7 linked regions of the Macaca fascicularis genome follow. The protein of the gene in region 4 purifies or fractionates together with the protein of the main gene of each other region. This does not show direct contact. Links are inferred from orthologs where the notes say so. Each region holds a gene or a part of one and is shown on either strand. Other genes may lie near its edges.

The links.
Region 1: the proteins of FKBP5 (region 4) and CLK3 purify together in Homo sapiens (affinity purification with mass spectrometry; 3 studies listed by BioGRID and IntAct, counting the BioPlex papers as one, with this or other methods). This does not show direct contact. The link is inferred for Macaca fascicularis from reciprocal best matches to the Homo sapiens genes FKBP5 and CLK3.
Region 2: the proteins of FKBP5 (region 4) and CDK9 purify together in Homo sapiens (affinity purification with mass spectrometry; 10 studies listed by BioGRID and IntAct, counting the BioPlex papers as one, with this or other methods). This does not show direct contact. The link is inferred for Macaca fascicularis from reciprocal best matches to the Homo sapiens genes FKBP5 and CDK9.
Region 3: the proteins of FKBP5 (region 4) and PTGES3 purify together in Homo sapiens (affinity purification with mass spectrometry; 4 studies listed by BioGRID and IntAct, with this or other methods). This does not show direct contact. The link is inferred for Macaca fascicularis from reciprocal best matches to the Homo sapiens genes FKBP5 and PTGES3.
Region 5: the proteins of FKBP5 (region 4) and IKBKB purify together in Homo sapiens (affinity purification with mass spectrometry; 3 studies listed by BioGRID and IntAct, with this or other methods). This does not show direct contact. The link is inferred for Macaca fascicularis from reciprocal best matches to the Homo sapiens genes FKBP5 and IKBKB.
Region 6: the proteins of FKBP5 (region 4) and protein argonaute-1 purify together in Homo sapiens (affinity purification with mass spectrometry; 6 studies listed by BioGRID and IntAct, with this or other methods). This does not show direct contact. The link is inferred for Macaca fascicularis from reciprocal best matches to the Homo sapiens genes FKBP5 and AGO1.
Region 7: the proteins of FKBP5 (region 4) and CHUK purify together in Homo sapiens (co-immunoprecipitation; 4 studies listed by BioGRID and IntAct, with this or other methods). This does not show direct contact. The link is inferred for Macaca fascicularis from reciprocal best matches to the Homo sapiens genes FKBP5 and CHUK.

Annotation. Positions count from the first base shown.
Region 1 is NC_088381.1:51,734,904-51,738,656, forward strand, and holds part of CLK3 (dual specificity protein kinase CLK3), read left to right. Parts: intron 1-1,075; coding exon 1,076-1,172; intron 1,173-1,449; coding exon 1,450-1,516; intron 1,517-3,753. UniProt on the Homo sapiens protein: Dual specificity kinase acting on both serine/threonine and tyrosine-containing substrates. Phosphorylates serine- and arginine-rich (SR) proteins of the spliceosomal complex.
Region 2 is NC_088389.1:16,210,879-16,215,088, reverse strand, and holds the start of CDK9 (cyclin-dependent kinase 9), read left to right. Parts: upstream 1-1,210; 5' UTR 1,211-1,325; coding exon 1,326-1,417; intron 1,418-1,878; coding exon 1,879-1,960; intron 1,961-2,697; coding exon 2,698-2,788; intron 2,789-3,126; coding exon 3,127-3,293; intron 3,294-3,393; coding exon 3,394-3,565; intron 3,566-3,723; coding exon 3,724-3,872; intron 3,873-4,210. UniProt on the Homo sapiens protein: Protein kinase involved in the regulation of transcription.
Region 3 is NC_088385.1:63,494,838-63,499,254, forward strand, and holds the start of PTGES3 (prostaglandin E synthase 3), read right to left. Parts: upstream 2,888-4,417; 5' UTR 2,593-2,887; coding exon of another isoform or gene 2,591-2,592; intron 2,340-2,590; exon of another isoform or gene 2,284-2,339; intron 2,008-2,283; 5' UTR 1,834-2,007; coding exon 1,820-1,833; intron 1-1,819. UniProt on the Homo sapiens protein: Cytosolic prostaglandin synthase that catalyzes the oxidoreduction of prostaglandin endoperoxide H2 (PGH2) to prostaglandin E2 (PGE2).
Region 4 is NC_088378.1:136,068,795-136,072,547, reverse strand, and holds part of FKBP5 (peptidyl-prolyl cis-trans isomerase FKBP5), read right to left. Parts: intron 3,310-3,753; coding exon 3,195-3,309; intron 1-3,194. UniProt on the Homo sapiens protein: Immunophilin protein with PPIase and co-chaperone activities. Component of unligated steroid receptors heterocomplexes through interaction with heat-shock protein 90 (HSP90).
Region 5 is NC_088382.1:45,840,536-45,843,935, reverse strand, and holds part of IKBKB (inhibitor of nuclear factor kappa-B kinase subunit beta), read right to left. Parts: intron 3,222-3,400; coding exon 3,094-3,221; intron 707-3,093; coding exon 616-706; intron 1-615.
Region 6 is NC_088375.1:199,056,877-199,061,179, forward strand, and holds the start of protein argonaute-1, read right to left. Parts: upstream 2,921-4,303; 5' UTR 2,693-2,920; coding exon 2,668-2,692; intron 1-2,667.
Region 7 is NC_088383.1:109,176,220-109,180,664, forward strand, and holds the start of CHUK (inhibitor of nuclear factor kappa-B kinase subunit alpha), read right to left. Parts: upstream 2,812-4,445; 5' UTR 2,748-2,811; coding exon 2,643-2,747; intron 1,544-2,642; exon of another isoform or gene 1,472-1,543; intron 1-1,471.

The sequences.
Region 1 (3,753 bases), on a different chromosome or scaffold from region 4:
TCCCCCATCCCTCTTCCCTGCCTCCCCCCTGCCGGCCTTGAGGCCCCTGAGGAGCGGTGGAGAGGCCAGGCGTCTTCTCTGCCCAGCTCTTTCTGTGACTTCTTTGAGTGGCCACAGGTTGAGGGTTGACTGTGCAGGCGATTGCAGCATGGCCCTTTGGCCTCTTTGCACACTGCCACATGCTGCCACAGGATGGCAGTGCAGGTCTGGCTCTGCTTCTCTGTTTGGTGCCCTCTTATCGATCGTCGTGAGGCTTGGGATGGGCCTAGATTGTGAGCAGCACAGGTGCCAAGGCCAGGGCAGGAGCTGGCATGGGGCCTGTGTGGGCCATTGTGGTAGGAAGCCTTGCAGTTGACTGGCCCAGAGGATCCAAGGCTGCTTTCCTGCTTGAGGCTGGTGGCAGGAGGGCTGCTGACGGAAGGCTGTTTCTGGTAGTGATGGTGAAGTCTGGCCAAGGATGCCGTCTGGAGGCAGGTAGCAGCTTGGCTCTGAGTGGCAGCTGTCAGGCATGTGCAAGTCTGCGTGGGCGAACAGAGGCAGGCAAGGACAGGCTGGGCATTCTGCAGCTGAAGCCGGAGCAGCCGCTGACCAGTCTGGATGGTTGGACCCAGGCGGGGCCAGCTGCCTTCTTGCGCCACCGTTCTCACTGCATCTTCCGCTCTGGCCAAAGCCACATGGGAGGGCCTGGGAGGGAGAGACTCGGAGGAGGAGGAGGAGGGAGTCGGGGCGATGGCTCTCCTCACAGCGTGGCCCTCAGCAGCAGAGGCAGGTCGTCTTCCTGAGCGTTTGTGGCGCTCCTCTTAGAGATAATGTCCGAGTTTTCTTTACATACCTGTAGCTGTTTTTACTTTTCTGTTTTTGAAGTCAGTTTGTGTCTTGACGTGTCCCTTGCAATATCCCTATCGTTATATATGCTGTGTGCCTTATGAAATGCTGGGATCTGGAAAATCCAACCAACCAACCCACCGGCTCCTCACCGTCTCCACCTCTGCCTTTGACTGACACCTCAATCTGTCAATCGGAACCGCCTACCATGCGATTGGTCGGATGGCGTTTCGGGGGGCGGTGCATGCAGAGAAGCCAACAGAGCAGTAAGCGCAGCAGCCGGAGTGTGGAAGATGACAAGGAGGGTCACCTGGTGTGCCGGATCGGCGATTGGCTCCAAGAGCGATGTACAGCCACCTTTCGTAAAACTTTACCTCTCTACTTTCTACCCCCCTTGTTAGACGAGACCTCTCCTGCCTGGAGGGGCCTCTAGTGCGCGTGGTGCCTTAGCGGGGCCACCAGTAATTGCCTGAATGACACAGACACTAGCAACTTCCATTTTAAAGGGTGTAGCAGTGAGAGAGAAACCTTTTTTGTTTTTGAGAATTTGAATGCTGTGAACTTGCAGGAGCTGCCAACTCCCTGTCCTCTAGATTCTCATGCCCAATTTCTTTTCTCTCCTAGATGAGATTGTGGGGAACCTGGGTGAAGGCACCTTTGGCAAGGTGGTGGAGTGCTTGGACCATGCCAGGTGAGCGAGCTGGGGCAGTACAGCTGGCTCTGGATGTGATCTTCCTGGGAAGAGCTGGCCTGAGTTCTTGAGGGTGGCAGCTATCAGAGCTTAACTTTTTTCTTTTTGAAGGGTGGCATCAAAGTAGGGTTCTGACCTGTCCATGTTGGGGTTTTGCTGATCCCCTGTAATAAGGGAGAAATTCTTGGGTCCTGCAGGTATGTGGCAACACTGCCCAAGAATTGTTGCTCAGTGAAAGGTTCTGTTCTAATCTCTCTACTTCTCCAGGACTGTAGTGGTGGATATCAGAACAAGGCCAAGGCCCCAGCTCCCCTATGGCTTGGAGCTGCCTCTATAGCTCCCCTATGGCTTGGAGCTGTGATAACTTTTAGGTTCTTGGCCTGGCAAGGGGCTAGGAGTACCACCAAGCCCAGCCCTAAGGGCATAAGTCCCATCCCCTGAGGGTCTGCCTTTGAGGCTGTGCAGATCTTAGTCGAGAGAAACATGACCCTGGGCTTTCTCACCAAGCAGGCCGCTGCCTTCTTCAGTGTGGCTAGGGTAGTGTGCGGTCTCTGCTGAGTGTGCCCAGGAGAGTGGGGTATACCTATGTGTGTCATGCTGCACGTCACTCTCTCCCAAGCCCAACAGTGCAGTAGTTTTGTTCCTTCACCATTCCACAAGACTAGAACATTTGCTTCCTCTCATATAGGTCTGGGTTGGGGAGGCCACCTCCAGGGAGTCAGTTGCCTCCCTGCTGTAGGCGCTCTAGTTGGTTTGGCACTTCAGCTACAAAGTGCTCGTGTCCTCATTGGAGCCGCGTGCCACCCGTATGTGGCCCTCGCTGTTGCAAAGATGAATAAACATACTCAGGGTTTGCCTGCATCATACTCCAGTTAACGGCAGAGTTGGCCACCACTGCACTGTAGTGCTCCTACATTAAATGGGGTACTCAGGTCATTCAGACCCAGGCATCCAGCCTTCCCTGTGCCCACAAGGTAGACTGAGAGGAAGTTTCCATTTGCTCCAAGTTTCCATGCAAATGCCTGTATGACTCAGTGCGGCCCAAGAGGTTAGGGTTGGGACCAGTGGGTGGAGGGACATGCACAACTATACCATGGCCAGGTGGAGACATGGCAGACTCAAGTAGGCGGTCTGGGCTGCTCCTCTCTGAGGAGCTGGAGGGAAAATGAGCCTCTGGAGTTACTAGGGAGCAGGTGGAGGGTCCGGGGAACCTTTACTTTCACTCAAAGGACTCAAAGGGAGCCAGGGCCAGTGGGGGTTGTCATGCGGAGGCAGAATTCAGCTCAGTGAAAGGCAGGGTCTTATTGTAAGAGCCATGCAACTCTGGCAGGGCTGCCTTGGAAGTGATGAGCTCCCTGTGCTGAGGACTGGGATGCCACGGAGGGACCCTGTTTCAGGAGGAGGCCGGAGTGCATGACCTTTCCCCTGAGAATCTGGGAAAATAGGATAGGGAAAGAAAAGCAGGGGATTCTCTAGAAGATCCCTTTACCCTGGGCCTGTGAGCCTTAGGCACCACCGTCAGCCTCCCTGAGGCCTCAGACATGCCCTTCCAGGCTAGGGCTGTCTCACTCAAGTTCCCCACTGGACATCTGAATTCTAGCGGTCCTTTCCTGACAGGGCCTGGCAGCCAGACCTCGGCAGGTTTCCTTCTCTGCTGGCTCCCTGCAGATGGCCTCCTGGGGTGGGGTTGGGGGTGGGAAGCACAGAGCAGGGACTGTTAAAATCTTCTCTGGACACTTAAGAAGGGTTCCTGGCATTTTGTGGTCACTGATAAACGCTGTGGCAGGTAGGTGCGGCGGTAAAAGGAGTGGCCCTGGACCCCACAGTGAGAGGTACCCTTGCTGGTACCCCTACCTCTTGCCAGATCTTTACTCGATCCTGGCACCCCCATCCCTGTTGGCTCAGACTTGCAGATAAGCTCAGGAAGGTCAAGAGGTGCTGCAGGAGGGCTCTGGGTGGGATAGCCTGGCCAGGGTTGGGGCTGCCTGGCCTATAGGTTAGGTCACTATGTGAGCTCTTGGGCTGGCGCTGGGTAAGCAGGATTGGCCTCTACTCTCCCACACTCCTTTGGGAGCTGGCAGTGGCCGAGAACATAAAAGCCTAAGGCTGGCATGGATGCCAAGAGCATTAACTCACAGATGTCAGGGAGCTTGCTGTTGGGTGGGCAAAGGTCTGGTGTTGCATGGGGCAGGCTGGGCATCCAGTATCTGCTTTCTTCAGTGCAGGCTGCTCCTGGA
Region 2 (4,210 bases), on a different chromosome or scaffold from region 4:
CCTTGGGCAAATGACCTCACCTCTGAGCCTCAATGTCCTCTTCTGCAAAATGGGTTAGTGATCCTGACTATGGGGCTGTTGATTCAGGATTCGGCGGGAACGCCCAGCACTTCCTGAGCACACAAAGAGTGCTGAGAAAATGGTAGCTGTTTTTTGCGATTATTGACCCGGGGCCTGATCAGCTCTGGCGCGACTCGGCGAAGGCGCGAGTCCTGCGGGTCCCATCCCTGCCTCCTGGAGAGCCAGGCTCCAGCGATAGAAGGCCCGGGCGTTGCTTGCTCGTCGCCTCCAGTGCCGCCGCGCCCCCTGGCGGCCGTCGGTTGCCATGTCAACGGAGGGTGGCGGGGACCGGGGGAGGCGGAGGCGGGGGCCGTTTTCTCCTCCCAGGGCCGGAGGACGCTCCCTCCGCGCCTCCCGCCTTCGCCTCTTGGGGGGGCACTCCGAGCCGGGGAGGAAGGGGCTCTCCGCGGCAGCCGGCATGTGGGGGTAAACTGAGGCACGCGGCTGGGCGCCCGCAGCCAGGTGCCGAGCGCGGGGCCCCACCTCCGAAGGCGGAGGAGGGGCCGCGGGCGGTGACGCGCCGAGGGCGGCCGGCGGACAGCGAGCGGGCGGGCGGGCGGGCGGTGGCGGCGGCGGCAGGTGCGGCCGCGGAGGGTGGGAGGGAGGAGGGCGGGGGCGGGCGGAGGAGGAGGGGAAGGCGAGGCCGGGCACCTCCCCCTTTATAACGCGCCCCCTCCCGGGCTCTCGGGCCGTCTCCTAGTCGGCTCTTCCCGTCTCGCCCCCTCGCCCGGCCGCCCCGGGCCCGGGCCCGGCCAGGGAGCCCCCAGGCCGCGGCTCGGGGGCTGCCCCCCCGCCCGCCGCCCCGCGCAGCCCGGCGGAGGCGGCGCCGTCGGAGGAGGAGGAGCAGGGCACTGCGGCTGGCCCCGGATCGGGCGCCAGAGCGGCAGCAGCTTCGGCAGCAGCGGCGGCCCGGGCCCATGCAGCGGGACGCGCCACCCCGAGCCCCAGCTCCGGCGCCCCGGCTCCCCGCGCCCCCGATCGGGGCCGCCGCCAGTAGTGGCGGCGGCGGAGGCGGGGGCAGCGGCGGCGGCGGAGGCGCCTCTGCAGCTCCGGCTCCCCCTGGCCTCTCGGGAACTACAAGTCCCAGGGGGCCTGGCGGCGGGCGGCGGGCGGAAGAGGCGGGGTCGGCGCCGCGAGGCCGGAAGTGGCCGTGGAGGCGGAAGTGGCGCGGCCGCGGAGGGGCCTGGAGCGCGGCGGCGGCGGGACCCGGAGCGGGAGCGGCAGCAGCAGCGGCTGGGGGCGGCGGCGGCGCGTTGGAGGCGGCCATGGCAAAGCAGTACGACTCGGTGGAGTGCCCCTTTTGTGATGAAGTTTCCAAATACGAGAAGCTCGCCAAGATCGGCCAAGGCACCTTCGGGTAAGGCTGGGCCCCTCGGGGCCGGGAGCCGTGGGCCTGCACCCCTAGGGCGGACGTCGGGATGCCCCGGGCCCCGCCCGAGTTGGTAGAGAAACCGTCTGTCCCCGGGCTTGCCCACTGGTCTTTAGGCCGCGCCGCACCCCGCCCCGGCCTGAAGGAGCCGGCTGGTGGGGAGGAGCCTGAGGCCGGTGGTGGGGGCGGGGAGGGGCTGCAGAGAGGCGCCCGTGAGGGGAACGGGATCTCTCCAAGAGACGCCCAAGTGAGGAGAAGGGACTGAGAGAAGGAAGCAGAAGCTCCGAACGAGACAGGGTGCCGGGTGGCGGGGTAGCCGCGTGCCCTGGGTACTTACCCCAGCCCCGCCCGGGAATCTTTTTGCTGCTGCCCCTCCTCCGGTAGTGGGGGAGGGGCGGGCCCTGCGGAAATCGCCTGATGAGCTCTCGGGTCTCCCTTTCCGCCTGCAGGGAGGTGTTTAAGGCCAGGCACCGCAAGACCGGCCAGAAGGTGGCTCTGAAGAAGGTGCTGATGGAAAACGAGAAGGAGGGGGTGAGTACGGATCGGGCGTGCGGGCCAGCCGTCTAACTGCCCAGGACCCCGGGTCGGTTTTCCACCCTGCTGCTTCTAGGAGTCTCAGGTTGAGATTTAATTTTTTTCGTAGTAGTTCAGAAATTTCCAGGGAATTTGGCCTCCACCCTAAAACTAAATGCTTCATTCTTAGGCAGTTATGGGTGAGACCGGGAGGGGGAGTTGATGCATGCATCGTGTGCACTTTAGTTCACGAAGTTAGGAAGCCTTTAAACACCTTTTTTTAGTGTTAAATTTTGCTTAATGTTAAAGAAAGATACATATGCATGCAAATTTTTGAAAAGTGACTAATACTCAGTTATTTAATGTGTTTAAAAGGAGCGGTCCCTCCACCCCATCTTAGCTCAAGTACAACGTCCCATAAACCTTCCTTTTCCTGATGTGCTTTAGCGAGGACATTTTTGAATCGTCATGTTTGTTGCCAACGAAACAGCCATAGAGCTGAAGTTTGAAGGCTGAAACCGCCGAGCATTTAGTGGCTAATAGCAAAGTATTGCTGTTTCAGTTTGTTGTCTCAAATTATCTCCTTGAAGTGTGCATGCTCCTACTATATCCATTTTACAGGCAGAGCTTCTGAGACAGCTGGTTTCAGAGCCCATGATCTTGCTCTGTCTCCCAACTTGCCTCTCAATATAGACCCCAGGGCTGGGCTCTGTACTGCGCTCACTCTTGACCACTTTCCCCTCTCTCCCACCCAGTTCCCCATTACCGCCTTGCGGGAGATCAAGATCCTTCAACTTCTAAAACATGAGAATGTGGTCAACTTGATTGAGATTTGTCGAACCAAAGGTAAGTTGTTTGGATCTTATGAGGAGATGACACTTGTAGCCTAAGGTTTTGTTCGTAAAGTTGGAACTAGACCCACCTAAACTGCCTCCTCTTAACTCAGATGGACCCATGGTGACTGCTTTCTCTGGTCCTCTTTCATCGTAGCTGGTGCTTCCTCGGGGTCTGCCCTGGCCCAGAAGAGGCACTCAGAAAATATTTGACCAGTGAAGGAAGGAACAGACAGATGCTCTGGAGGGCTTGGGTGCCCATGGGTTGGAGCAGGAAGAAAGAAACTGGTTGTGGGAAAGTGTGTTGGGTGTGGCTTTCTTGACTTTTTCTTCCTTGTATTCCTGCCTCAGCTTCACCCTATAACCGCTGCAAGGGCAGTATATACCTGGTGTTCGACTTCTGCGAGCATGACCTTGCTGGGCTGTTGAGCAATGTTTTGGTCAAGTTCACGCTGTCTGAGATCAAGAGGGTGATGCAGATGCTCCTTAACGGCCTCTACTATATCCACAGGAACAAGGTGGGGGCGAGAGCTGGGAGGAGGACCCAGGCTTGGGCTGGCCTTGGCTCCCACTCCCGGGTGGATATCACTGAAGGAGCCACTCTTGCCCTTCTTGCAGATCCTGCATAGGGACATGAAGGCTGCTAACGTGCTTATCACTCGTGACGGGGTCCTGAAGCTGGCAGACTTTGGGCTGGCCCGGGCCTTCAGCCTGGCTAAGAACAGCCAGCCCAACCGCTACACCAACCGTGTGGTGACACTCTGGTACCGGCCCCCGGAGCTGTTGCTCGGTGAGGACTCCCGAGCGGGCCGAGGGGGGTGAGGGCCAGGCATCTACCTGGCCCCCGCCCCCCCACTGCCAGGGCTTCTTGAGCTGCCGGCCCTGGGGCATTGAGTCTCAGGAGGCCTCCGGGCTCAAGGGGCCCTCCTGGTGCGCTCTTCTTCCCAGGGGAGCGGGACTACGGCCCCCCCATTGACCTGTGGGGTGCTGGGTGCATCATGGCAGAGATGTGGACCCGCAGCCCCATCATGCAGGGCAACACGGAGCAGCACCAACTCGCCCTCATCAGTCAGCTCTGCGGCTCCATCACCCCTGAGGTACGGGGTCCCGGTCCCCCGGCAGAGGAGTGGGGAGTGGAATGGAGGGAGCGCTCCTCTCTGGAAGGGAGGCTGGTTTGGTGACAGGGCCTGCCCTTGAGAGCCACACAGGCTATGCGCCAGTCTTGGTTCCATCAGCCATTCTGTGGCCTTGGGCAGAACAACTGAGTCAGCGCTGGGTTTCTCTTCTGTGAACCAGAAATGGGACGTATATCAGGGTTGGGCCTGGCATGTGGTATGTGCCAATCTGTGGCGGGCACTGCTTCTCTTGGGAGGGGTCGAGTTCTCTCTGCAGTAGTAGTCTGGGAGTCTCGAAGTGGAGCAGGTATTTTAGTCCT
Region 3 (4,417 bases), on a different chromosome or scaffold from region 4:
CGCCCGGCCGCATCACTCGTTTTAAAGGTAGCTTTTTTTTTTTTTTTTTTTTTTGAGACAGTCTCACTGTGTGGCCCAGGCTGGAGTGCAGAGGCGCGATCCTCCCTGCAAGCTCCACCTCTCGGGTTCACGCCATTCTCCTGCCTCAGGCTTCCAGCAACTGGGACCACAGGCGCCTGCGACCACGCCTGACTAATTTTTTGTATTTTTAGTAAAGACGGGGTTTCACCGTGTTAGCCAGGATGGTCTTGATCTCACGACCTCGTGATCCGCCCGCATTGGCCTCCCAAAGTGCTGGGATTACAGGCGTGAGCCCCCGCGCCCGGCATGAAGGTACCATTTTTTTTTTTTTTTTTTAACTAGAGAGGCTGCTTTTTGGAATTGTCTCTCTACTGCTACACTTACTTTTTTTGAGACGGAGTCTCCCTCTATTGCCCAGGCTGGAGTACAGTGGCGCAATCTCGGCTCACTAAAACCTTCGACTCCTGGGTTCAAGCGATTCTCCTGCCTCAGCCTCCCGAATAGCTGGGACTACAGGAGTGCACCACCACGCCCGGCTAGTTTTTGTATTTTTAGTAGAAACGGGGTTTCACCATATTGGCCAAGCTGGTCTCTAACTCCTGACCTCGTGATCCACCTGCCTCAGCCTCCCAAGTATTGGGATTACAGGCGTGAGCCACCGCGCCTGGCCTTACACTTTTCACCCAAGTTTTTAAATTTACTTTCCTAACTTAGCCGTTCCTTACCTATTTAGATATCTCATGTGCCCTCCAGAAAGTGCTTCTACTTCGAGCCCATTTTAAACATTTTTCACGAAAAGATATGTTGTTTGGCTCTATTATTAAAAGCTGCTTAATGCCTTATCTGACAAAAATTTTCCCTTACAGATTTTCAGAGTATGAAAGGTTAAGACTGATGTCCCTTCTACATTACTTATGAGAGATTTCAAAGGGAAAAACAAAAGCTATTTTATATACTTTTTTTTTTTGAGACGGAGTTTTACTCTTGTTGTCCAGGCTGGAGTGCAATGGCAAGATCTCGGCTCACCGCAACCTCTGCCTCCCTGTTTCAAACGATTCTCCTACCTCAGCCTCCCGAGTAGCTGGGATTACAGGCATGTGCCACCACGCCCGGCTAATTTTTTGTATTTTTGTAGCGACGGGGTTTCTCCATGTTGGTCAGGCTGGTCTCGAACTCCCGACCTCAGGTGATCCGCCCACCTCGGCCTCTTAAAGTGCTGGGATTACAGGTGTGAGCCACCGCGCCCAGTCTGATTCAAACTTTTAAAAACCCCGATTACGTATCACTCTCGGGGAGGGGGCTCCCTCAAAAATTCTAACATGCTGTGCTCTAGAAGCTTGTTTCCAGTGATAAACTTCGCTTCAGTGTATCCCTCACTCATTCCTTTAGATTTCTAGCCGTCAGTATCATGACTTTGAATCAAGCAAACCCTTCTTACTTTTCCACAAAGTCACTCCCTCTCATCTCTCTTCTGAATGGAATATTTTTTAAAAAAAGGTTCCCCCTTAATTGCTCTCCATACCTTTTAGGACGCAGTTAGTACCTTAAAAAATAACCTCCCGTCAAAAAAAAACCAAAAACTAAAACAAAACCCTGTAAAACCGGCAGTTCCCACTGTACGTGGCAGTGCCAAGAATTCTTACTCGGTTAAAATCGCCGAGGTTTCCTTTATCATCATAAAATGAAGACTACCATAGAATCTCAACACAAATTTAAACTCTTTAGGACAACAGTAGGTTAATTACACGCCTATTACATACATATTTCATCCCACAGTTACAGGATAGTGAAACCTCACCTCAGGTTTAACATGGAACACAGAAAATGTCCGTGTCTTTCCAAAGCAGACACGTGCAGAACTACCTGCTCAACGGTAACTCCTCCTCGCTGCCAGGGAAGCGGCTGAGTTTTGGCAACCTCCCGTGTTTTCAAGAGACTGGAGTTACGAGGCGGACTTCAAGAACCCACACTCAAGAAACCCAGACACTGGAGAGAAGTATGTTGCGGCGTGGGCATGGCTTCACTCTAGTTGCCTAGCAGTACCTGCCGCTCACGGCTAGGCCCGCGTGGGGCTCTCCCAGGAGCTCCGCCAGGCACCTGGCAGCACCCACCACAGGTGCACTCGACTCAGGGCCTGGCCCGGGGACCACAAAGCAGCAGAACCGGAGCGCCCAAGCAGCCGAGGCGACCCACGAGGGTTCACGCTTCACGGCGCCGCATGGCGAGCAGCTCCGGGGAGCTTAAGGCCTAAGGTGAAGTTACCTAAGGAAGCCAGTAGCCCAGACAGCCAAAGAGGGAAAAAGTAGGATTTCCGGTATAGGGAAGCCAAGGGACGTTTCAGGGGTGGGGGAAGCAGACATCTGGAGGAAAAATGTCCTCCACCCGCCAACGGTAACCGGAACAAGGATCCTGGACCTCCCGCCCCCAGGCAGGAACGACTGCCACCACCGATGCGAGAAAGGCTATGGGGCCAAAAGCAGAGGGAGGGCAAGGGCCGCTTCCAGGGAGCCCCCAACGCGGCCTCGGCCTCACTCTGGGCGACCTTCCCTCGGCGGGGTGTCGCACTCACATTGTGAACGGGGCAGGGGGACGGGCGAACGGGTGGGCGGGCCTCTCTGGCGGTGGCTGCTGCTAGGGAGTCGACTTCTCTCCAGTGGCGACTCCGCGTTTTCTCCCCGGTCGCGGCCTCTTCTCGCTTCCCTCAGGCGACGGCGGCAGCGGCGGGCTCGACCTCGGTCCCCAGAATGCACCGCGCGGAAAGAGCGGCTCCTCCGGTCGGGGAGAAGAGGAAAGTGTAGGAAAACGGGCGCGAGGACGGAGAATGAACGTGCGTGCGTGCAAACGAGGGGTGGTGAGGCCGGGCGGCGGCTGGTGACGCAGCAAAATGCCCGGGCCTTACCGCCGCGCGTGCGCAGTCCTTGTTTTCGGGGTCCGGCGCGGCTTTCTAGAGATATCTACGGAAAGGGCGGGGCTTCCCAGCTCCTTCGCGATCCTTCCTGGCGTCGGCCCCGCCCTTCGTCCGCCACCCCACCCCCACCCCGCCCCCTGCTAGTCGCTACGCGTTCCCGCCTCTCCTCCCTCGCTGTCCTCTCGCGTTAGAAAACCGTTGGTGTCCCAACTGCCCGGCCATGCGCCTTGGGCGATTTCTCTGAGAAACGGCTGCGTTGGCAGTGGGAGGCAAGGCCGAGGCGGAGGGACACGGAGTCGGGATCCTATAGAACTAAAATGGAGCGTTGGTTACTCTTGAGGGAGTAAATCAGTTCACTGAGGAATCATTCCACCACAAAAACCTGTGAAAGGCTGTGCTGTGGAAAAGGGCTCACTTCAGAATCAAGGGCCTGGGTCTACCTCGCCATTTTTCTGAAGGTTGGAGGCTCTGTCTAGGGACAGCGGAAATTGGAGGTTCTTGGCGGAGGAGGAGCATTTGCCATTTGGGGCGGGCTTTTGCCCCTACCTTGAGACCTCAGTGCTGTAGATGAGACAGGAAGGATATTTGGTGGGAGAGTCTTAGGTTTCTGGGAATGGAGAGGCTAGGACATTGGGTGTCTCCACGCACATCATTTGGGGGAGAACGGGTTCCCCGTCGCTTCGTGCAACACACTAATAGGGTGTATTAGGGGATAGTAACCAAGAGACCCAAAACAGTCCTGCTTACCAAGAGGCCACTTAACGGTGGAGTATGGGAAAAATACTCTAGTGCACTGCATTATGAACAGGAAGGAGGTTTAACGAAAGTGCTATAAAACGTTTCTGAAGAACGGGGCTTCATAATAAGCAATAAGGTATTTAGTGTCTATGTTGTGCACGACAGGTAGTGGGAGCTACGAAAACTGGACCCTAGCTCAAATGCCATTTTGGACCGGGCGCCCATAGCTCACGCCTGTAATCCCAGTACTTTGGGAAGCTTGAGGTGGGCGGATCACCTGAGGTCAGGAGTTTCACCTGCCCAACATGGTGAAACCCCATCTCTACTGAAATTACTAATTAGCAGGGCGTGGTGGCACGCGCCTGTAATGCCAAATACTAGGGAGTATGAGGCGGGAGGATAGCTCGAACCCAGGAGGTGGACGTTGCAGGGAGCACTCTAACCTGGGCGACAGAGTGAGACCCTGTATCAAAAAAAAAAAAAAAAGGGAAGTTGGCCTGGCGCGGTGGCTCACGCCTGTAATCCCAGCACCTTGGGAGGCCGAGGCAGGCGGATCACGAGGTCAGGAGTTTGAGACCAGACTGGCCAACGTGGTGAAACCCCATCTCTACTAAAAATACAAAAATTAGGGCCGGGCGCGGTGGCTCAAGCCTGTAATCCCAGCACTTTGGGAGGCCGAGATGGGCGGATCACGAGGTCAGGAAATCGAGACCATCCTGGCTAACACAGTGAAACCCCGTCTACTAAAAA
Region 4 (3,753 bases):
CTACTTGGGAGGCTGAGACAGGAGAATTGCTTGAACCCAGGAGGTGGAGGTTGCAGTGAGCTGAGATTACGTCACTGCACTCCAGCCTAGGTGAGAGAGCAAGACTCCATCTAAAAAAAAAAAAAAAAAAAAAAAAGTAAATACAATGCTGGATCTTGAGTTTGATCTTAGACCAGAAAACGACAGTAGTGTAGTAACTGGTGAAATTCAAATAAGATCTGGAAAACAGTTACTGGTACTACATCAATGTTAACTTCCTGATTTTGATAAATGTACTGTGATTAGGTAAGATGTTAACATTTAGAGGAAGCTGTGTGAGGCATATAAGGGAACACTGTATACTAGTTGCGCAACTTTTCTGTAATTCTAAAATTATTTCAAAACAAAAAGTTAAAAAAAATTGACTCCCATCACAAGGATTACCAAAAGCAAGATTTGATTTAATTTAGTCTGCTCTAAAGTTGTCTCCACAGTAGTAATGTTGTGGTATTGTCCATAATTGGGAAAAGTTTTCCCTCTTAGTTGACAAAACCCTCCAGTTAAAAAATATAAATTACTGAATCTAGGGAGTTCCTATATCCATAGGAGTAAACCTCTACCTTTGTATATACATTTGAAATTTTTCATAATAAAAATTTAAAATACACATTATAGACAAGCTTAAGTGCTTACTAATATAGTGAAGATGATTTTCTATCACTCCTACAACTTTTGTAAATGTTTAGAATTCTATGATGGAGTTTTAGGGCTAGTAGGACCTTAAAAATTAAGCGGTTCCACCTTGCCTCACTGCATAGGAAGGATGCTAATGCCCAGAGGTGAGGTCTAGTTGGAGCCAGCCTGAGACCAGGGCTGAGGCTGGAACCCTATCTCCCAACTCCTAGTCTGGAGCTACTTCCCTGATATTCTACATTTAAAGCTCTTCATGTATTCTAAAACTTATCTTAAATGACAATTTGGGATAAGTAATATTTGTAACTGCTTCCCAAAACAACAGAATTTTAACTGACTTTCCAAACTCGTAGAAGTGAAATATGGGCCGAAAATAGTATATACTTTAAATATAAGAAACTCAGCTATTCTTGTTTTCTGTTTAAATGAACTCTATTTTACTTTTTTTTTTTTTTAAAGTCAAGGTCTCACTATGGTGCCTAGGCTAGAGTGCACTGGCTATTCACCGGTGTAATCATAGCATGCTATAGCCTCGAACTCCTGGCCTCTAGTGATCCTCCCATCTCAGCCTCCCAAGTAGCTGGGACAACAGGTGTACACCATTACACCTAGCTTTTTGAAATCTTTATTTTAAACAGAACTTTTATAATAGTTCATGTTCCCATCCTTGTTGAATGATTTGATTTTTGTTCTTAATGGAAGTATTTCTCTGTTTTCTCACAACTCTCTTTTGAAGGATTTCAGCTCACTAATGACACTTCTCAAGCATTTATCTATGAAGAAAGCCTTTACTGAACACCAAATGTGTGTCAGGCACTGCAGGTAATGCTGAAAACAAAAGGATGAAGAAAGATTCTGGTCCTCAAGCACTCATAGTATATTGGGATAAATGGGCAAATACTGATTACAATGTAAAGTGACAAGTAGTATACACAGTGGTATATATAATTTGCTCTGGGAGGGAAGAAGAGTTAGCTATCTCAGTCCTCAGAGATGCCCCTTCTCCCACTTAGCAAATGAAGAAACGGAAAAGCTTCAGGTTACTCAATAAACACCAAAGCAGGACTTGAACCTAGGTCTACTGATAGGGAATAGAATGAACATTATTATCCAATATTGATCTAAATGATGAACTATTTTTTATCTTGATGACAGCTGATGAGATGGATTTGAGTCCTAAAGAGGATTATAATCTACTGCTCTGTTTAGTAACTCTGTAACCCTGGGCAATTTATTTAAGATCTCTGAATTAACTTTTCTTATCTGGGGACAGGAAATTTTACCTCTTAAGGCTGTGAGAAATAAACGAACAAATATATCAGGCAACAAATATAGTTGCTGGCACACCAAAGAGTCCATAGATTGAGAATTTCTTGTGGATGGAATTACTTTGTATTCATTTTTGAGTTTGTAGAGGCTGGTAGCATGCCTGGCACACATGTTGAATTAATGTTTACTAAATAAAATTATTAAATAAATGTTGAATCTGAAACTATTCTTTTTTTTTTTTTTTGAGACAGAGTCTCGCTGTCTCCCAGGCTGGAGTGCAGTGGCGCCATCTCGGCTCACTGCAAGCTCTGCCTCCCAGGTTCACGCCATTCTCCTGCCTCAGCCTCCCGGGTAGCTGGGACTATAGGCACCCTCCACCATGCCTGGTTAATATTTTGTACTTTTAGTAGAGACGGCTTTCCCAGTGTTAGGCAGGCTAGTCTTGACCTCCTGACCTCGTGATCCGCCCGCCTTGGCCTCCCAAAGTGCTGGGATTACAGGCGCGAGCCACCACGCCCGGACTTTTTTTTTTTTTTTTTTTCCCACAGAATCTTGCTGTTGTCCAGGCCGGAGCCAATGGCACAATCACGGCTCTCTGCTGTAGCGTTGATCTCCAGAGCTCAAGTGATTCTTCCACCTCAGCCTCCCAAGTAGCTGGGACTACAGGGACGTGTCACCACACTTGACTAATTCTCTTGATGCTTTTTAGTAGAGATGGGGCCTCACTATGTTGCCCTGGCTGCTGCCGCATTCCTAAGCTCAAGAGATCCTCCTGCCTTAGCCTCCCAAAGTGCTGGAATTACAGGCGTGAGCCACTGTGCCCGGCTAAGACTATCTTTGAGATATATTCAATACTTTTTTTTTTTTCTGAGGCAGAGTCTCGCTCTGTCACCCAGGCTGGAGTGCAGTAGCACCATCTTGGCTCACTGCAACCCCCACCTCCCCGGTTCAAGTGATTCTTGTGCATCAGTCTCCCAAGGAGCTGGGATTACAGGCATGCACCACCACGTCTGGCTAGTTTTTTGTATTTTTAGTAGAGATGGGGTTTCGCCATGCTGGCCAGGCTGGTCTCAAACTCCTGAGCTCAGGCAATCCGCCCGCCTCCACCTCCCAAAGTGCTGGGATTAAAGGCGTGAGTCACCACGCCCAGCCGATATGTTCATTTCCATAAACATATTTTTTTTAAGTCTCCATTTCGTCCACATAAATGGTCCAACTTTTAAGGACTAGTTCCCTCTTACTTTAATACTTACTTTCTACTGTTGCTCCTTCGTTTGGATTTGAATATCCCTCTCCTTTCCGTTTGGTTCTCCGGATAATGCCTCCATCTTCAAATAAGTCCTCTCCTTTGAAATCAAGGAGCTCAATCTAGAAAGAAAAAAGGAATTCAGATGAGAAAAGACCAAATAAAGCCAATTTAACATATGTGAAGGCAAGGGCAACCAATTATTTCATTTTACAAAATAAAGCTGTTTCAAAATGTATACATTCATTTATGCATCTTAATTATTGGAAAAGTAGCAAAAAAAAAAACAAAAAACCCACTATACTTTTCCATACTTGGAAAGAATTTCACATAATGATAATGTCTAGGACTATATCCTAAGGGACTGCGGTGCAAAGACAGGAAATACTAGGAACACTACCCTGTGGGCAAAAACCCAGAGCTTTACAAGGTGCTGGTGTAGAACAGTTTGTCTGAGGCCACAACTTTCCCACCCTGGATTTATGGAGTTCCCTTCTCAAAATGTAAACATAAATTTCATGAATGTGGCCTGTGACTGATTAAAGGTATATTTTACCTAGCTGGGG
Region 5 (3,400 bases), on a different chromosome or scaffold from region 4:
TCAACAATGAAGCTTTGTCTTAATGTACCTATATCTTGACTAGTGGTCTCATAACTAGTACTACCTACTGCTAAGCTCCAAGGCCCTGAGGACATGGCCATGGCTGGTTCCCGCTCCCAGCCCAGCACTCAACACACAAATCCTCAGCAGTAGTACCAATGGTGCAGGTGGGGACAGGCTTCTGGGGAAAATGCTACCTTCCTCCTCATCATAGGAATTAAGTGTTGCAAGGATTAAATAAGATAATGCATATATGTAGTTGTAAGCCTTCAATAATTGTTAGTCATCACTATTATTATGAATAATAAAAAATGTGTAATGGAAAATTATAAATATGCACTGAAAAAATCAGCTGGGTGTGGTGACGCACGCCTATAGTCCCAGCTACTCAGGAGGCTGAGGCATGAGAATCACTTGAACCCGGGAAGCAGAGGTTGCAGTGAGCCAAGATCATGCCACCGCACTCCAGCCTGGGTGACAGGGAAAGACCCTGTCATAAACAAACAAACAAACACTGAGGTTGGGGATAATGCCAGATTGTGTTTCCATTTTCTTTTCTCTTTTGCTATAGAATGAAAGGACATGGAATCGCAGGGGGCTCACACAGGCTGTTACCGTGAAACTCTGGTCTTGCTCCCTCACGGTGTCCTGTATGGCATTTTCTAGCAGGGTGCACAGGTTATGTGCTTCGGCCACCAGTTCTTCACTAAAGAAAATGATCAAATTATTAGAAAGCGATCATTATTAGTTATCAGAGCTAACACTGCTATTTTAAAATATGCTAAAGAGTTTTGATAATACTTTTTAAATGAAGTAACAATTATTTTGATCCTGAGTGTCTTAAAACACCAACCCATTGACTAATACTTTCATCTTGTTATGCACTTTCCACACATGAGCATTACTGCCAAAAAGGCAAACAGATCTCCATAAAAAGTCAGAAGTAAAAAGAGCTCTTTCTGCTTTCTGACTTACTAGATAGCTGAATTTAATTCTCAAACTGCCAAAATCTAAAGATATTCTCCAAATCACCTGTTTTCCAATTTCTGAAGTAGACAAAAAAAAAAGGGCCAACCAATTTATCAGGGTTCCATAGTTCCTTGGAATCTGTTGAAAAGCAGTTCTGGGATTTGGTTTCATCTAATCTGATCTCTCTCTTTTCTATAATAAGAAACCCATGTTTCCTCTGAGGATTGGGCCACATTGAGAAAGCGCAGCATGTAATAAAACATCTTTTTCTAACCTCAGCTCTATGCTGTGGGGAGACAAGAGACATCCTACATACCCAGGTCTACCTTTCTAGAGCTTTGAGGACATCATTGAAGGGAATAAGCCACGTAAGGGAAGACAGTGCCCCGGAACTCCTCTCACTCTGCAAAATGTGACAATCTGATGGCAGGAGCTCAGAGTACATTTTTGCCAAACCTCAGCTACAGGGCCTCTAGCTAGGCTAAAGGCTCAGTGCCTGCCCCAGAAGGGAATGGAAGAGGCTCCTGGCCTAGCTACTATACTCCAGGAGCTCATGAGAGGTTGGGGAAGTACTTTTTATTTAACAAAAAAAAAGGGCCGGATGCGGTGGCTCACGCCTGTAATCCCAGCACTTTGGGAGACTGAGGCGGACGGATCACCTGAGGTCTGGAGTTTAAGACCAGCCAGACCAACAGGCTGGAGAAACCCTGTCTCTAATAAAAACACAAATTTAGCAAGGCCTGGTGGCTCATGCCTGTAATCCCAGCTACTCGGGAGGCTGAGGCAGGAGAATCGCGTGAACCCAGGAGGCTGAGTTTGAGGTGAGCTGAGATTGCGCCATTGCACTCCAGCCTGGGCAACAAGAGCGAAACTCCGTCTCAAAAAAAAAAAAGAGAAGCAGTCTCACTACGTTGCCCAGGCTTGCCTCAAACTCCTGCAAACCTCCTGCCTCGGCCTCCCAAAGTGCTAGGATTACAAGAATGTGCCATACGGCCGAGAGAAAATTAAGTATCCAAGGTCACATAAATATCAAAATAGGCTACAAAGTCCCCAAGGACAAGAACAAGATTCTTCAAAGCAGACTGTATTGAGATATAATTTACATACCATAAAGCTCACCCATTTAAAGTGTACAATTCAAGGGTTTTCGCATATTTACAGAGTTGTGCAACCATCACCATGTCTAGTTTCAGAATGTTTTCTTCATCCTCAGAAGAAACCTTGCATTATCAGTCACTCCCATCCTCCTCCCCTGCCCCAGGCAATCATCAGTGTTTCCCATGCCTAGAGATTAGTTCCTGCAGAAACCCATAGAGCCCTGCACACAGAAAGTGTCAAACAAAACAAACCACAGGAAGGGACGACCGTGGGAACAGAGGTGGCCTGCAGTGTGCTGGAGAATGGGCGGAGGGCTGCTAGACACAGACTGCTGGGCCCCAACCCTGAGCTCCCAAGTGAGGTCTCCGGCAGGACCTGAGAATTTGATACTGTGCTACTGGCACAGATGAGACCTGAAGAAAGCTCAGACCTGAGCATCTATAACGGAGGGGGAAGCTGTTATTCATGACTGACCAAGGAATACCTTGGTCAGAGTGGTATTTTGTGAAGATTAATTCAACCACACAGGGCTTGGCAGCAGAAAGGCAGGAGGCAGGACGCAGAAAGCCCTGCCGCCATGGTTCAGGCAAGAGGAGGCAGAGGACGGGAAGAACGGGAAGGTCAGTGGCACCAGAAGGAGGGTGGTGACTTGGTAACTCAAGGGAGTGGTAGGGTGAGTGGGGGCAGATGGCTCAGGGGAGATGAAAGATGAAGTGGGCCTCCCTGAAGGGAATGTGGCTTCCTATGGATAAAAGGTAGCAGCATGTGCCCAACCAGCATTTCCAATGTTCTCATTAAGCAGTTAGTCATCCAAGCCTTGGACAAAGAAACTAGTTAGTAAGTTTCAAGGGACTAGGAGAGCAAAACATGTAACACTTTTGTCCCCACAGGACCTAGCAGATGCAACAAACATCCAGAGAGGTAGTGATATCATTGGACAGACATTTACCAGTGACAAACGCCTCCATCCCCAATCTCCTGACGTGCCCTCGACAGTCACACTTGGCGCTGCTAACGGGGACCTACCTCTTCTTGGCTGGTTCGGGTAAGCTGTTGGAGGCCGTGGAGGGCTGAGACATCAGCTGCCCAGGCTGGCTAAGTCGAGAGGCATTCATGCTATCCGGGCTTCCACTGACAGGACCACGGACCTTGCTCTAGGGGACAAAATCAAAAGAAATTAGGAGCCAAGTGACGAATCACATTTTGCATTCACACCACAGTATTTTCTCAGGAGACAACTGACTGCCAGATGCCAGAGCTAACCCTACAGCCTACCAGTCGGCACCCCTACCTGGGGGGCAGCTGGTGCTTCATATCTGGCTTCAAAAGTGTT
Region 6 (4,303 bases), on a different chromosome or scaffold from region 4:
AAAAGTAACAGAGCTGAAAGCCCTGGCTCAGGACTCCTTTCCTGCAGTTCTGAGGCCCACACACCTCCCAAAGAGCCAGACTGCATATTCAAAAGACACAAATTCAAGGTTAGGTTAGGTTAGGTTAGGTTAGGTTAGCTGGTGGGCAAGCAAAGACTAACAGGCCAATCTCTCCAAAAAGGATCTGTTCCATGTGAATATACACTTTATTAAATATCCATATACGTGCTTAACCATTTATGTTCACATTGGAATGTGATTTAATTAATAAACATGTATTCTGTGCCAGGGCCTATACACTAGGCACTTGCTAGTTCTACAAATAAACCAGACACTGCTTCTACCTTCAGGGAGCACCTAGTCTAGTGTATGTGCTTGGAACACACCTGAGCACAGAAGGCAGACCTGGGCATAAGCCCAGTGAGGCTAGCAACAATGCTTTAGTTTTTTGGGCTTTTTGTTTATTTGTTTGTTCGTTTTTTACACAACACTTTAGTGTCGTGTATTATGTCCTCAGGCCACCTTGGGACACCACTCTAACTTCCTACAAGAGAACAGTCCGGGCCTAGGAAGGAGGCAGTTATGGGGTCCCTCAATCTGCAGCTTCCAGACTGAATCTCAATTATACCCTTTTCTGAGGCAAAGCCTGTCCCACTAGGCTTTTCCTAAGGCTATGGGTAACTCCAAACAGCAGGTTCTAGCTCTTTCCTAGAAGCTTATTTTTTGTAACAAATTTTTAAAAAGTCAATTTTTCATCACTCCAGAGCCTATTAGGAATTCATCGGGATAAAAATCATTAGTCTAGAATGGGTACCAGCAACCAGCAATCCATGTGGACTTCAATGACCTACCCCACTACTCTAGTTCATGGGTTGTTGGAAATAGTCCCCAGCCTTGAAAAACAGGAGTGCCTGAGATGGAGAGAGGGGCCTGACAGAGAGGAAGTACAAAAGTCAGTTGCTCCCTGCGCTTATCCTTGGGACTACACAACCTATACAAGGTTGGTTATTAGGGGGAAAACAGTCACTAAGTACTTATAGATCACTAAATGGATAACTTGAGTGAGGTGGTAGGAGCTATTTCCTTGAGAGAGTGGGAGGGAGTTAGGTCTGCTACAAAAAAAAAACAAAATAATTTCCATTAGGAAAGTAATAAAGTTCATGTCCCAAATGGAAATTTGATTCCCATTCCCAGACCAAATGTAAGGAAGTGGTGAGAGATGACCTGAAGGATTCCCAGGTCCAGGCTCCTCGTCCCATCACAGGGTAAGACACTTAAGACACAAGAGGTATCACCACCCCACAGCCCATCCTGAGGACTCCAGTTTTCTTGAGGCAATCCTGCCTCAGTTTATCCTCTGTTCCTATGTCTTTTTCTCCTCGTTACCTGCAAATAAGAAGTTAAGGCTATCACCTGCGCCTCACCAGGGTGAAGGCTATAAACTCCCCCATCCTCCAACTTGTTTGTAGGGTTTAGATCTTGGCTCTAAAGACAGCCCTGACAGTTTCTGGGAAGCAGGGAGAGGAAAACGGAAAGATATCCAGTGGAAGATAGGAGCCATGAAAATATTAAGAAATATCAGAATAAATGTTATAACTGTAGAGTGTAACCTTAACAGACAATTCAATGGAAAAGGTCATTATCTTGTGTGTGGATTAAAAGCCCCCATCTCTACTCAGTATTGGAGCAGAAACTTGCAAACCAAGCAGACAACTCCTTCCAGGTAGCCCCTGTCTGCCCTGTCCTTTATTCATCCGTAACCAATACCTTTCCTAAGGCCTATCTTTAGGAGGACCCACCCCCAGAACCCATTGCTTCGGTCCCAGTCTTTCCTGTGGCAGAAAAATGCACTTTGGCAGCTTCCCTCAACCCATTCTTGGCAAACTGTTACTGAGGGCCAAGTGTAAGAGCCCCTAAAATGGGGGCGGGGACCATAACCATTTGCACTCTGCCAGCATAACCTAAGAGCGAATGCACCCCATCAGCACGCTCCTTTTTCCAAGCCAAACGAGGGTGGGGGGCGGCGAAGAGAGGTGGGGGTATTTGGACGGCCACGCCCCCACCACGTCGGGCAGCCCCTGCCAGCTGCCACCTCCGCGCATGCTCCGGAGCCTCCACTCCGACTCCCCAGACCCACGGGGGGGAATCCCGGGACTGGGTCCCCACCCACCGCCCCCTGACCCTCGCCCTCGCGTCAGGCCCGGTGGGGCGGAGCTCACAGTCCAGTTCTGGCGCCTTCTCCCAAGAGACATTAGCTTATTCCAGCCCAGCGGAGCCCCCGCCCCCGGCATGCGGTAGCTCCAGGCCCATCTGTGTGGCCCCCTCCTCTCCTGGACACCTGGAGCCCGTCCCCTGCCACCTGCCGGGCCTCTCCGTAGGCCTCCACGGACGTCTGGGAGTCCTTCCGTGCGTGCAGGCCCTTCTCCCAGATTACTTCCAACCCGCAGGACTGCATACAGCCTCCTTGGACAAACAGCCCCCATCTCAGGGCTCTCTTCACATGGTTCTCCCCCGGAACTGCACACAGCCTCCTTCAAACTGGGCCCCCATCGTGGGAGAGCCCTTCTCCTCACTCAGGAGCGCTTCCCTCACTTGGAAACCACGCTTTTCATGCGGGAGTCCCCAGTCCTTGGAGCATGCACCGTTCCCCCTCCCGGGGGCCCTTACCTGCTCCCGAGGGTCCCGCTTCCATCCCATATACCCGTGCGGAGGTCAGGCGGCCCGGAGACTGTGAAGTCCAGCGTGAGGGGCCTAGGTACCCCGCACTCTCGCTGCTCGGGTTCCCGGGCCGGGCTCGGCTCCCCTACCAAGCCCGGCCGCTCGCGCCGCCGCCCCCGCAGCCTCCGTTGCCGCCGCCGCCGCCGCCGCCGCCGCGGAGCCTGCAGCAGCTCCCCCTGCGAGCGCCCGGCCAGCTGCCAGTGCGCAGGCGCGACCGCCAGGCCCAGGGGGCGGACCGGAACGAGTCAAGCGGGGCGCTCAGACGGCAACAAAGGCCAATGGAGAGGGGCGGGGGCACCGGGGACCCGAGACAGCGGCCCCTGGCGGTCACCCGTTGCCATGCAGCCCGGCGGGAGGGCTCCGATAAAGGTGCCTTGGAACCGCGCAGTGGCATAAGTGGGGCAGGGCGAAGGGACACCCCGCCACAGCTGCCTTCCGCCCTGTCTTTTCCCCAAATAGGTCCCTCCAAACCTACACACAGCCCCCGCCTGTCGCACCGAGCCGCGCGCACATTATGGGAACCCCACCTCATTCCCAGACCCCCGGCACTCCAGCGCCCAGGGGCCCTGCCTCCCACCTCGCCTCCCACCTCTCCTCCCAATCACCCTCATCCTTCAAGCCTTGGCTGCAAAGCGACTGCCTCCGCGAAGTCTTTCTCCGTCCCTAGTCACTGAACTCATTGACGCCACCCCCTCTTCCAGGCCGTGGGCTGGACGCTGAGACCACAGATAAGTAGAGACCCTGCCTACCCTGGAAGATGTCACAGTTTTAACTTAAGTACAGCTACAGAGCTCTGTCCACCGGACCTGGGAAGTACCTGCCTCCACTTTCTCATCTACAGCTCATGCCTGAACTCTTGTCAATCTGCTTCTGCCCTCACCACGTCACTTAAATGACTTTCGGGGTTGAAATCCAAACGATACTTTTCAATTATTTCTCTGCAGCGTCTGTCACTGTGCCTCTACTTCCCTTCTGAGCCTTCCACTTGGCTGTGGCATCTTCTGCAGTCTCCTATTGCCTAAGTCCTTTTCAGTCTTTTAAAGGGCCCCTTTTGTTTTTGCCTCGTTAATTGTTCACTGTGGTTCCAAACCCAGCTCTCTTCTCATTCCACTCTCCCCTTGAAGGTCTCATCCACTCTTACGGCCCAACTATCCCTCCAAATCTCTATTTCCAACCATGTCTCAGACTCACATTTCCACGTGTCTGCTGGACAGCTCCACCTAGATATCCTACCAGAACTTCAATTTTAAGAAGTCCAACCAAATACTTTATCTTTTACTCACAAACATACTCGCCCTGTGCTTCCTATCTCAACGAATAGCACCTTCATGTCAGAAATGACAGTTCCTCTATCCCTTGTTCTTTCCCTCTATTCAGCTGTTCACCACGTCTGGACATGTTTACCTTTCTGAACTGCTCTCACATGAGTCGATGCCATTCTGATGGTTTCTTATGCTGGTGCAGACCCTTATCATATCTTGCCAGAAGTATCACAACCACTTCCTTGCTAGTATCAAAGTTTCTGGGAACTCCCATTCTCCCTCCTATTCAGTCTGGTGCAGTGATAGGTGGGGTAAGAGACCCA
Region 7 (4,445 bases), on a different chromosome or scaffold from region 4:
CTGACACAAACCAGAGTTGTAATAAAGGCTGTGTATGAATAAAGAGAGGGGCCAGGACAGAAAAAAATATATTATAGGTGGGGAAGGAAGACACAGCTTGGATAGGGTAGTGTGAATTGGGGGCTGAGAGGAAAAAAAGGCTAGAGATAAGATGATACTTGGTGCATAGAGAAGAAGGAAAATAGGACAGACTACAAGCTAGCCTACCCACAGGTCTCACTCCCTTCAGTCTTCCTTTTGTTATGAGCAGGTGGCCAGTTATATCTATGTCCCATGCAGACCTTTACCACCATGGAGATGAGAATCAGGCACAGCTATGAACAGCACTGAGTCCTAAATGCTCATGTTGATGGAGCAGTAAGTTATCTATTTCAAAAATCCCACTTTGTAAGATCCTTCAACTCCTTAATTTATATTTCATCCACTCTGTGAAATTCTACCTTTTCGCAAAGAATGTTCTATGGGCAGTTTATAGATGTACAACAACAACAAAGTTATGTGCTTAAAAAGCTGGAATATTCTGGGGATAGGGTGACGGCTGTACAACGTCAATATACTTAATGCTACCTAACTGTACACTTAAAAATAAAGTGATAAATGTTGTGTTATGTATACTTTACCATAATAAAACAAAAAGTGATGAATTCATCCATCCCCACCCAGGGACCAAAAAAAGAAGTCACAAAAGCTGCCAGCATGCATCCTTTTTCCTTATGATCAGTCTATAGGCAGGCTTAGGTAACACAGGCAACATGCCACTGGAAGCACTTGGCTCCCACTTATTTTTTTAGTGTGTTATATTCCCTCTGATGGTGAGAATTATTAAATTTACTACTTATCCTGCTATCATAGGATTTAATGCCTTAGTCCTTCACCTTCCATTCTCTTTCTCCAAGATTTTCTCCCACACCCTATCTAGAAACCTGGTTCACAAAACTTCCTCAGTTCTATCAGTTTCAGTTGTCATTCTAATTACCCTAAACATGCCTATTTCTCCAAAGTAGACACCTATCTCCCCTTTCTCCCACCCCAAATTATGAGCTTTCTCACTACACCCATGTTCCTTTAGATAACAAATTATTACTTTTCCTCTTGAATTCATTTCTCTATTCACAATCCAAGCCCAGGCATTTTAGTAAAATCTTAACTGTTCATCTTGTCCCACATGTTGTTCCACTCAAATTTATCCTTCACAAAACCATTTTCCTAGAACAACACTTTTAATCTTGACATTTCCTTGTTTAAGGCCAATTAATGAGGAGCATTATGATCATAGCAGCAACAACAAAGTAGCAGCAGGTGCTAACAGTTGAGGGCTTTCATGGGTCAGGTACTGTATTTAGCTTTACATACATTATTATTTTATTTAACTCTCAAACCCATGATGCATGCAAGTATTATACTATACCTATTTTATAGGGAACAAAACAAAGCCTGTATTACAGGAAGTGTTAGTCCGGGGTCTATTTACCTAAAATGTCCTTTAGGAAAGCATGAACCTCTCAAATGGCAATGCATGGTTGCGTGGATGTGCATCTGTGCATTTTTCTGGGGAAAGGGTTCACAGCTTTTATTGATTATCATTTTTTATAACAAAAAATACATGTCCCAGGCCTGACGCAGTGGCTCACGCCTATAATCCCTGCACTTTGGGAGGCTGAGACAGGTGGATCACCTGAGGTCAGGAGTTCGAGACCAGCCTGGCCAACATGGTGAAACCCTGTCTCTACTAAAAATACAAAAAATTAGCCCAGCGCGGTGGCGGGCGCCTGTAATCCCAGCTACTCAGGAGGCTGAGGCAGGAGAATCGCTTGAACCCAGGAGGAGGCTACAGTGAGCCGAGATCGCGCCACTACATTCCAGCCTGGGCAACAGAGTGAGACTCCGTCTCGAAAACAAAAACTAACAAACACACAAACATGACCCAAATATTATTTTTTAAACTGCTGTTACAATGGTTAAACATTCTCTATTAAATCAAAGTAAAATTCTTGAGTCTGATGTTAACTGTCCTCCACTGACTGGAGCGCCCCCCATCTCCAATCTATTAATATCGCCTTCCGTTTGAAGCCATGATCTGCACCAACTTACCCTCATACTGTCCCGACCTGGAATACATCCCCAATTCCAAAGCCCATCCATACTTCCAAAGGTTTAACTCTGGACCCATCATGAAGCCTTCCTTGTCTACTGCAGTCCCCACTGATATCACACGGCCTCCAAGCAAGCGCGCGCACACACGGACCCAAACACACGGACGCACACATTCCAACAGGCAGTCTCCTTCAACCCTCTTCTCACACATTCGTGCTCACACATACACACTGTGACGTGCATCTGCCTCACACACCCTGACACTCTACATTCACAGAGACACACGCGCACTGTCACACTCACTAAACACCTGGTCACAGCCTGACAGTCATACCCAAGTTCCCCGCAACAGCTCTATCTATGCCCAGTACCTCAGATACAACTTTGGACACACACAGGCAGAGTATCTTTCTCTCTCATACACACACACAAGCCTACTGGCCCACAAATACTGCCCAAGGTCCCACTAACCATCTATCCCACACTGTCAGCCCTGTGTTCCACAGACGCTCAAACCCACCGCCGCTCCCTCTCGCGCCCCGCCTCACCCGATGCTGGTACAGACAGACGTTCCCGAAGCCGCCGGTGCCCAACCGCTCCCGCATCTCCCAGGGCCCGCCCGCGCCCGGCCGCAGCCCCGGGGGCCGCTCCATGGGGCGGGAGGGCAAGCGGCCTCAGGCTCCGCCGCTGTTCCAAGGCCGGTTCCGGGCCGCCGACGCTCGCGCGTCTTCCTTCTCGCGAGAATGAATGCGTCACTTCCGGTAACCGCTGCGAGAACGGCCCTTCCCTACGTTTTCCCAGGGCGCCGCCGGAGCCCTGCCGGCTAAGGGGTGGGGAAACGAACAGGTACTCGGTCCGCTCTTTAGGTCCCCTAGGTATTTTCTGGGAGGGCTGAACGGAACCACAATGTTTTTCAAGTCTTGGAAAACATAAGATCTCTCCAAACCTCGCATTCCCATCAAATCCACTTTTCAAAGCAGTCCAGTCTCTCCTGTATTAAATATATTTTTTTAATTAAGATGGGGTCTTGCTCCGTTGCCCAGGCTGGAGTGCAGTGGCATGATCACGGCTCACTGCTGCCTCGACCTCCCGGAATTGAGCGATCTTCCCACCTCCCGAGTAGTTGGGATTGCAGGCGCGCACCACCTCGCTTGGTTTTTTTGTTTTTTGTAGAGACATGGTCTTGCTACGTTGCCCAGGCTGGTCCCGAACTCCTGGCCTCAAGCAGTCCTCCCACCTCGGCAACCCAAAGTTCTGGGATTATAGACGTGAGCCACCACGCCCGGCAATTAGTCTTTTCTAAACTTCACATTGTCTCCACTCGTCTACACTTCACCTTTCTTCAGATCCCTGCCATCTATCCTCCAACTCCACCACCCGCTGATCCGGCACGCTAAAGACCACCAATGATTTAAAGGCTGCGGAACTGGAAAAATACTACGCCAGCAGGCCCACTAATGAATTAGCCTTACTGTTCACTGACTTCCCAATACACCTGCTCCATGATATGCCCCGTCATCCCAAATGACTCAATGATGTGACGCTATTCCGGAGTGAAGAATGTTTCTCGGGATTTTGGGAACTTTTTTCCTAGATGCCTCACAGAGCTTGCTGTCCAGCAGTCCAGTTAGGGCTCTGCCAGCACAGCAGTTCATTGTGAGAAGTGTTTCTAATGGGTGCTGCAGGGCTGCAGAGGCAAGCTTTGGGAATGCTGTTGGTGCAGCAAGTGCTTCCGGGTGGCGGATTGACATAGCATAGGAGAACCAGCTTCTGGTCTTCCATTTGAGAGGCTCATACTTTCACTGTACCTGGGGAATCTCAATACTCCAAGTAAAGGAGTCAGCATGGAATCAAATTCTTGAGAAATGTGATGCTGCAACCAGAATGTTGAGCACTGCATGATACAGACCAAGTCGATGTTGTAGGTCATTAGTAACATGTGGTATGGGAGGTTCTGGTTTCTATAAGTGCGTGGTTTCCATGGACTTGGAGATGATGGCGCCTCTGAGGACATGTCATTTAGAGCTGGGCAGACCGCACAGAGAATTGTGGTACAGATTGTTATAACAGTATGAAGCCCTCTCATTTGACGTATGTACAGCATGGCCAGTGCTAGTGTGCTCAATTTCCATAGGTGGGGCTGTAATCTCATAATTCCCACTCAAAAGAGGAAGGGATACTGAGGACCCAGGGATACTGATGATTGGGCTGACCCGGAAGTGGCCATCTTTGTGGAAACCAGGTTGGTTCCCTTTGTTAACTTTTTAAATGCCCCCATTCCCAGGGCCATGAGTAATTTGAGTTGTTTTTTGTTGTTGAGACAAGAGTTTCACTCCTGTCACCCAGGCTGG